Schizosaccharomyces pombe: one gene and its partner. The gene in region 2 interacts genetically with the main gene of each other region. Each region holds a gene or a part of one and is shown on either strand. Other genes may lie near its edges. The genes, in order: uge1 and ght2.

Region 1 (4,604 bases), 900 kb from region 2:
TTGTTTTGTAAATCAAGCAATTGTGGAGGAACTTGATCCTCTCGAATCACGTATCGTTTTTCCCAATATTCATCTGTGTAGTCTTCATCAAGTTGCATAGATGTGATTCCTTTGTGTATTTTTATCATAAATTCATCATATGGGTCATTTACGAGCCCGAGATGGATCCACTCATTCAACATTTTTGTATAAGGGCGTGAAGCTTCGCGCAATAAATAGGTTAGGATTTTTCGTGCCACAGGATCACCCGCATATTTCGTAAGACTTTCGGTCAAAAAAGAAATGACTTGCCCACCTTTACAAACCTTTTTCTTAGACCTAGTGGCATTAACAACATGTGAAATGTCATTTCCTTCATTAAGTTGCTCTAAAAGATCGTCGATGTTACTAAGACCTAAATCATCGCTGCTGGAAGCATTCTTTTCCATAGACAAAAGCAGGTCACGTAGAATTAAATACACTTGTCGTAATGAACGCGATGTGGGAAGAGTATAAAGGCGAAGAGTTTGAAGAGAAAAATTTGGATCAATTCGGCTCTGATTTTCACACTGCATGATAAGTACCACGTAGTCCATCACAAACTTTCGCAAAGCAGCGCACAATGCGTGGTTAACAAATCCGTATTCAAAATGGCTTCTCGATTCTATAAAAGCTGTGATACTTAAATAATGAGACCCCATCTCTAACATCTCAGAAGCAATATCCTTTATACCTAAATCAAATCCAGGAAGAATATAAAACGATGGCGGCATAATAATGGTTTCAAACTCAGAGGATGCTTTCATGTCTTGGAGATGTACAAATACACCCTCCATGCCCATAAATGCATTTAAGAGTTCGTTTATGAGACATGCTTCCTGCTGATGGATATTTAAGTTCGAAGGATCGCTAAAAGTCTTCCCATCGTAAAGATAATTTAATTGAATCCTATCAGAAAATGGAGAAACACCTTCACTCTTCAAAGAGACATGATAAACGCTCCCTTCCTCGAGAGCTGGAATTGGACTCCCATTCTCGCTTTCTTCTTTAGCAAGCACCGAACTAATCGATCTCACCATTTAAAGAGTCTTTTTTTATATAATCTACAAAAGTGTGAACATTTATTTAATATTTAGTGCTCTTTGTAATTATTATTCGGATATGCTTGTTTACCAGCAGGCCAGTTTTAAGATGTAGGTTGGTAAGTATGCGCCAGCTAACAATCAACGCAATTTCAAAGCAAACCAACTCAGGTCCGTGTAGCATTAAAAAATGCAAAAAAGTATAAAAAAAATTAGTCAAAAAATACATAACTAGAAGACTGCAGCATTTTCTATTGTAAGACTACCGTAAACTCAAAGGACCCCAAATACTCATTCGAGTATATATGGATAGCAGTAGACAGTGACAAATTCTATATGCTAGAGTTTATTTTGAATGGATAAAAATTTTAGATCCTAAGCTTGAGGGATTTATTCCCTTCATCTTTTTTTTTTTTTTTTTTTTTTTTTTTTTGTTGTGTTTAAATTTTTTATTCTAATGCAGACTACTTCGCTTTATTTACTAGCCAGTAGGTAATATTTGCATAATAAAAGCAATAAATTTAGCTCGGTTTTATGTTAATTATACATTTACTTGTTATTTCTTTAACAAAATAAATTTTTTCAAAAATACATATAAGCATCAATGATTTATTTACAGATAAAATGCTTTTCTAGGGAAGCAAGGATTTTGTAGTCGCATGAAGCTGGTGGTGAAATCACAAACATTACATCTATCAAAGTGTATATTGGTTGTAAAATCTCGAGTTCATCTTTTAAAAAAATAAATACAAAAAAAAAATTTATTGGTAAATGCACATACATTAAATTACTACCTCAATGCTTTATGAACATGAAAAATCCATACACCTAATCACAGGCATTCATCTGCTATACACTTATTCCGACGACCTCTTTGTTACTATATAATATTATGATTAGGAATTTTTTAGCGATATATCAATAAAATGGTTTAGCGAGATATACAAGCACTTTTCACTTTTAGCTTAAGCTTCATTGTGGCTTTTGCTCGTTTTACATCATGTCAGGTTACAGGAGGTAACGACCTGCATTGATACCTTGAGCATGTAGGAAACTGAATATCCAACAAAGAAAGAGCATAATAGCTACAGTCTTGAGCCCACCCCTTTAATATCAAATTATAACGTGTAAAATGGTATGAATAACTTTTTTAATTAATCAAAAGCATTCTTTTGTATGAAAATACTAATTATGATTCATAGACTGGTGTTCATGAAGGGACTGTGTTGGTTACTGGCGGCGCTGGTTATATAGGTTCTCATACGGTACGTAGAGAGCTTGAAGATACAGAAGAGGATTAGTAATGTACATGTAAATGTTTTAAGCACGCATCTTTTGTGAATATAGCTTGCTGCTCTTTACTTTTATACAATTTCGTCCATATTCTATAAAGCTCTTTTTTGAGATATTTTGCTAACCACAATCTGCAATAGTGCGTTGTTTTGTTAGAAAAAGGATATGATGTTGTAATTGTCGATAATTTATGCAATTCTCGCGTTGAAGCCGTGCACCGCATTGAAAAACTCACTGGGAAAAAAGTCATATTCCACCAGGTGGATTTGCTTGATGAGCCAGCTTTGGACAAGGTCTTCGCAAATCAAAACATATCTGCTGTCATTCATTTTGCTGGTCTCAAAGCAGTTGGTGAATCTGTACAGGTTCCTTTGAGTTATTACAAAAATAACATTTCCGGTACCATTAATTTAATAGAGTGCATGAAGAAGTATAATGTACGTGACTTCGTCTTTTCTTCATCTGCTACCGTGTATGGCGATCCTACTAGACCTGGTGGTACCATTCCTATTCCAGAGTCATGCCCTCGTGAAGGTACAAGCCCATATGGTCGCACAAAGCTTTTCATTGAAAATATCATTGAGGATGAGACCAAGGTGAACAAATCGCTTAATGCAGCTTTATTACGCTATTTTAATCCCGGAGGTGCTCATCCCTCTGGTGAACTCGGTGAAGATCCTCTTGGCATCCCTAATAACTTGCTTCCTTATATCGCGCAAGTTGCTGTAGGAAGATTGGATCATTTGAATGTATTTGGCGACGATTATCCCACATCTGACGGTACTCCAATTCGTGACTACATTCACGTATGCGATTTGGCAGAGGCTCATGTTGCTGCTCTCGATTACCTGCGCCAACATTTTGTTAGTTGCCGCCCTTGGAATTTGGGATCAGGAACTGGTAGTACTGTTTTTCAGGTGCTCAATGCGTTTTCGAAAGCTGTTGGAAGAGATCTTCCTTATAAGGTCACCCCTAGAAGAGCAGGGGACGTTGTTAACCTAACCGCCAACCCCACTCGCGCTAACGAGGAGTTAAAATGGAAAACCAGTCGTAGCATTTATGAAATTTGCGTTGACACTTGGAGATGGCAACAGAAGTATCCCTATGGCTTTGACCTGACCCATACCAAGACATATAAGTAAACCATACTCTTCCTTTTCGGATTAAGTGGGTTTTAAATAATTTCCTTCTCTTTCTTGATTCAAATTTGCATAATATGTTTTAGGACTTATGGATTCAAAGACATTATAATGTATTGTTTGATGAACCCTTTTCCCTTTCCTGTACCTTAATTGTTTATTGTAAGTGCGCTCGAGCTATCGATTAGGTCGCTAATAATACCGGTTTGCGAATAACTTATGTTTTAAAAGGGATTTAACAATGAAGCTTATTTCAAAACAATCACTTTCGGTTTACATTTTTATTTCTTTCTTTTGCATACGCATTTTCGTCAAGTTGACATTTTTTCTAATATTGAAGTTTCTTTATATTTCACCTTTTAATTGTATTTTTTTATTCAAAGGTTCTACTTTGTCAATCATTTTCAATTCCTATTTCGATATAGCTTAGATTTTACAATAATACTTGTTATAATACTGTCTATAACTTTTACGTTAGCCGAAGATTAGAAGTCAAGCACCGTATTGAAATCAAAATTATTAATAATGAGTAAGTGAATATATACCAAGGTTGAATGTTTTTTAACTTTTTAAATAGACAGTTATGAGATTTGCACTTCATGACATGCTAGATTAGCGTTTTTTTTCAAATGAATTTAAATTATTCGCAGCTGTTCAATGAATGTAATCGTATAATTAAATCTTAAATCTTTAAACAGCTGTGTGTTTGATTGAATCCACATTCGTCCTCATGTACTCATAGCTAGGTGAAATATATTAGGCTTTCAGTGATTCGGGATTCCAAACTACACTTAATACCCCCAACATCAAAAATTACGAAAATACGATTAAGCAAATAATATTTAAGTGGATATAATGACCAGCAAAATGGAAAATAATAAAGATGAAAGCATTTCTACCAAAAATGCGTTAGAAGAAAAATCGAACGAAACAAAAGACGAAACTTCAAAGCGAAAGCACGATCCGGCAGAAGAAGAATCAGCGGTTTCCACTAAAGTCTCGAAGAGTGAACCGCTGGAAGATAAAGGGAATGCTGAAGTTAAGGAATTTAAAGAGACTACGAAGAGCAATGGCGTAAAACCGGAGGTTGAGATTACTGAGTCTACTAAAA
Region 2 (5,082 bases):
TTTTTATTAGAAAAATAACAAATCGCATAATACTTGTGTACATACATGCTCTGATGCTTCAGCACCTGCCACAAAAAACTCAAAATCTGCATACTTCTTCCAATAACCAAACAATAGCGGATATTTTCCCAAGAATCGATCGTACACACTTCTTAATGTATTGATAGCCTGTTTCGAAGAGTTTCTGCCAACACCTCCCTCAAGATGTTCTGAAGCACGAACCAGTCCTTCCCTAAATCATAATTAGCACTAAATAAGTTGTATCTGACAACATCCTACCAAGCATCAAAATCATCTGGATTTTTATTTATTTGACGATTATATTTATCCCATTCTGTTTCCTCTGCAATGTAAATATCCCCATAATCCATTTTGGTTCGCAAGTATAAAAGCGCGTAAGGATAAAATGTAAATATCGAACAGCAACGAAATATACTTTCTTCAGCCGTATTCGGTTGAACTTAAATAAATTACAATATTAGTTTAGTGCAGTACATTAGTCTGCCGAATCGTATCATACAGAATAATACGACACTGCCCGCAACGCTGATTTAAAAATTAATAACTAATAAAGTACATTTGGGCGATACACAAGCGTAAAATGATTATTGTTCTGTAACAGACTTACTAATATAATGAAAATTCAACTACAAATCACTGTATAAACATGACTCACTTCAACATTTACAAATATTTATTAACATTGGAAATACTTAGCTACTAAGCAACGAATCAACAAAAACTTAATTAGGTATAAAAAATATTATTTCCTATAATGAACACAAAAACACAAAAATGGACAAAGAATGCACATGTATCTAATATTATATGCAAACGAACATAATCTCAAAAAACTAGATTTAAGATGCACAGTAACTTAACAAATTATCAATCCAAACTTAGCTAATAATATAATATATAGACCCAACGAATCGGAACAACAAATTTTGGATCTAGCTGCCTCACACAATTCATAAATCATACAAAGACGTTTAGCTATTGCCTTATGCGTAATCTTCCTCATGGGAAGAGTATTGTGGAGATGAGTCAGTGTTTGAAGCACGCTCAACATACTCAACAGACTCACCACGGGCACCGCCCTTTCTGGATTTCTCTTTCTCAACTTTCTTTTGCTCAGAATAGTTAAGCTTAAAGTTACCAGATTCCCAGGGCTTGATGACAGACATATACAACTCATTAATTTCTTCCAAAGTAAGACCTTTAGTCTCTTTAGCAAACAAGAAAATAACAATTGCACCGGTCAAATTACAAGAAGCAAAAACGTAACCGTACTTGAATCCAATAGAAGCTTGAATGAATGGAGTAAAGAATGAAATTAGGAAATTCCAGAGCCAGTTGCTAGCAGTAGCGACGGCAGCACACTTAGAGCGGTAACGAACAGGGTATGACTCACCAACAATAACGTATGCGGCAGGAGCCCAAGTTTGAGCAAATCCAAAAATGAAAAGACATGCCATGACAATCATAACGGCACCAGCACGGGTATTTGAAGTACCGTTCTTATGATATAAAGCACGAGAACCGACAGCTGAATAAATGAAAAAGCAAATTGACTGCCAAATACCACCAATGATAAGAGGGTTACGACGACCAAACCTTTCCAATACATACATACCACCAAAAGTGCAGCCAAAATTAACTGCATCAAGAATCATAGCAGATAGGTAAGGAGAATTAATACCAGCTCCTTGCATAACTGAGAAACCATAGTAGAAGAAATAGTTGTTACCGGTCAATTGTTGAAGCGACATAACAAACATACCAAGGAAAGTACGATAACGAATGTCTTTACCGAAAATGCTTGCCCAGCTGCAAGGGCCACCAGCAAATTCTTCGTCAATAGATGATTTGAGACGGTGATATTCATTTTGAACTTCCTCACTATCAGGAAAAAGCTCAGCACTTTCAGAAAGAACTCTAACAGCCTCTTCATCCTTGCCAACTTGAATAAGATAACGAGGGGATTCGGGAAGGAAGAGAATTCCAATCATGGTAATGATACCCCAAAGGAGATTAATACCAATTGAAACACGCCACTGGGCAGTTTTATGAAGTTTGTGAGTACCCATATTGATACAAGCGGCAATGAAAATTCCACCAGTGACAAACAACTGATAAGTGACGACGACGGTACCACGAATACTGGGAGGAGCAGTCTCTGATTGATATCCAGGAGCCAAGACAGAAAGAGCGCCAATACCAATACCAGTCCAAATCTTGGCAACCATGATTTGTACCCAAGAGGGAACAGCGGTAACTTGAACGATGATACCAATGATATAAACAGCACAAAAACCAATGATAGAAAGTCTCTTACCAAAACGATCGGCAATGGGAGAAGAAATGATACATCCAAACAAGGAACCAACGTTAACCATACCAGTTAAAAGACCTTGACGAGCCGAAGACAAAGAATACTGGTCGGTGATCGGGTCATATCTATCAGCATAACGCTCACGAAAATCGCGCATACTAGTAACACCACCAATGGAACCGGTATCAGCACCAAACATCCAACCGGCCATGGAGACGAAAATTAACATAACAAGGGTAAAATTCTTTCCACGCTTGAACCCCATTTTGATAAAGTATAAAGGAATCTAATAAAGATGAAAAAAAACAAAAATTCTATAGAAAGGATGTAAGTGGAAAATAAAAGATTGAATAAAATTAACCACACGTCTATTTCAGTTGCAACACGTTAAGCAGAAATGATAGAACAAAGAACAGACAGTTTATGAGTTAGAGATCTTGACAAGAGATTCTCAATAAATAAAAATTAAAAGAAAAATTAATCTAGATTATGATTTTCAAGCACAGAGAGCTTGTATTTTCAAAATCGGTATAAAGAAAGGGTAACCAAGGAAAGCACAATGCTTTTATTGAGCTTTCTTTGGATTTCGTTCTTGTTTAACCAAAAAAAGAAAGGATTTTTAGGTAAATGAAGACTAAAGTTGCTCTTGCACTTAAAAAGCAAGAATAGGTCTAGGTAAAGATTTTAACAGTCAAGAGGGCAGCTTTTATACTAAATTCGGGAAGAGAAACCCCGACAAAAGTATCAAAAGTCCTTTGCTTTCAGTGAAATTTTAGACAGGATCGCCGGAGAGTTTTTGGTTATACGTCACAATATTACAAGGGCAACAAGGTAGTTAGCAAACTCTTGTATCATTGGACGCCGACTTAAAAAAACGCAGTCACACACAAATAAGAACGAATAAGATGTGGAATAGAATTTAAACGACGTGTATGACGAGGATCAACAGCTCGTTGAAAGTCAAGAACGAGGTAAAAATGTCACGATATCATTAATTCTCCATAGCAAAAAAAAAAATTCAATCGTAAAATGATACACTGTACGTAATGAAACTGATGCATATACTGGGGAAAGACACTATTAGTGAGGTAGAAAGCCGATAACAGGATGAAAAAACGACTTTCAATAAATGTGATGTAGGAATAATTCTCAAAAGTAAAGTAAATTTAAATACTTTGGCGACCGAGGCTGCAAGTTCGGACTGCTAGCAAATACAGAGTGTATTCCAACGTCAATAATTTTAGCAAAGTAACCGAAAAAACCAAGTATATTTCTATACTCCTCATATCGTTAAATCAAGATTGAACACAAAAAAACGTTTCCTGAGGCAAAAGAAGTAAAGTGTCTGCAGTAAAATTAATTCGCAAGGCGAAAAAATAATACCAATGGTGGCCATACGTATTGGAACCAGCAAATATCAAAGTTTAAAACACAGCATACTCTCATCGCTGCATGACTATCTCAAAGCTGGCAATAGAACAATTAACGTTACGGAACCATAATCCTTCAAATTTCGATTGCTTGCATTCTCGAGCTCCACATATTCGAGTCCATAACGGAACTAACCTAAATGCGGAGTTCCTCTAGTATTAACTAGTAACATGAATAGAGCATAGCCGTGCTCTTTTTTTTTAAGAAAACGTCACGCAACGTGTATCTTATCTCTGTCCTATCCAAGTCAGGATAGCTAGGGGCCCCCAACCTGGAGACCATACATCGACCGCGACACCAACCATCCTAGCGAGACTCCCTAACAAGAAGGTAAATATGGATGGACAATGAACCTTTTCAAAAAAAAACAGAATTCTCAAGCGATATATTCGCTCTTGAACAGTTCGGTGTAAAAGGATACTTCTATCCCTTGATTACGTGTACGCCCATACTTCATTCGGACTATAGAAGAAATATGGAGCTGTAACCCGTACTGCAATTGTCTGTGTTAAGAAAATGTAAACGCTGCACACTAAATCATCACTAATTCATCGCTAACTAACGTAGTCCCTAAAAAGTTATGAACTTGGTAAACGACTTTTGAGGCCTTGGGACCTCCTTAAATACGCCCAACTCATTACTAACAAGGTTTGCTATGTCCGTGAAAAGCGCCTATTGTACATATATTGCTCCCATATATGTGAAGCTTTTGCCCAATCATTGTAAGACAGGGTCTTGCTATATTTCCCTACCCCGCTCCATTCTTCCCAAGTCTGAGAAAAACTGTGGAGAAGCCTACCAATTTTGCCTAAGGGGATTTTGATCCCGCCTCTGCAATCTATTGGACGATAATAGCTATAACTACATTTGATTGGATGAAAGACATGTGATGAATGCTGGATGGTTTTGTTGTTTTTAAATGACCACCGATAATTTTTTTAGTTAGTACGCATACATTGATGAAAGCTGAAAAATTATAATAGGGTGAATAAATGAAATTCTTTTTGTGTCTTTTACTCTAATATCGTCTGGCAATTTTCTATTTTCGTACTTCGATAGCGCCATACATGTCTTGTCACCCGTTTTTACGAGCTAGGCTTAGAAATATCTTGGAATTTTTTTTCAGACATGTTGATGATTGGCTGATACTTTTTCCAGTTCTGCCTCCTCCACAATTTGCATCCGCGTTTTCCAGAGACGTTGGGGCAATAACTTTGTCTAACATTAAATTGAAATTACAAGGGTAAGTATTTGAATCAAGACTAACCTTTATACGTTGAATGTCTTCGATATTGTAGAGAATGCCTTGAAAAAAA

The links.
Region 1: mutations in ght2 (region 2) and uge1 impair growth when combined (synthetic growth defect), as found in Schizosaccharomyces pombe (one study listed by BioGRID).

The regions. Positions count from the first base shown.
Region 1 is NC_003423.3:2,520,515-2,525,118, reverse strand, and holds uge1 (UDP-glucose 4-epimerase Uge1), read left to right. Parts: upstream 1-2,128; 5' UTR 2,129-2,193; coding exon 2,194-2,196; exon of another isoform or gene 2,197-2,263; coding exon 2,264-2,326; exon of another isoform or gene 2,327-2,367; intron 2,368-2,494; coding exon 2,495-3,496; 3' UTR 3,497-3,996; downstream 3,997-4,604. Other genes in the region: gamma tubulin complex GCP2 subunit Alp4, read right to left, coding at 1-1,058; Ran GTPase-binding protein Hba1, read left to right, coding at 4,349-4,604. UniProt on the Schizosaccharomyces pombe protein: Major UDP-glucose/-galactose 4-epimerase under glucose-rich conditions involved in protein galactosylation.
Region 2 is NC_003423.3:3,425,090-3,430,171, reverse strand, and holds ght2 (plasma membrane glucose/fructose:proton symporter Ght2), read right to left. Parts: upstream 3,013-5,082; 5' UTR 2,601-3,012; coding exon 1,005-2,600; 3' UTR 748-1,004; downstream 1-747. Other genes in the region: U1 snRNP-associated protein Prp39, read right to left, coding at 46-232, 280-371. UniProt on the Schizosaccharomyces pombe protein: High-affinity glucose transporter.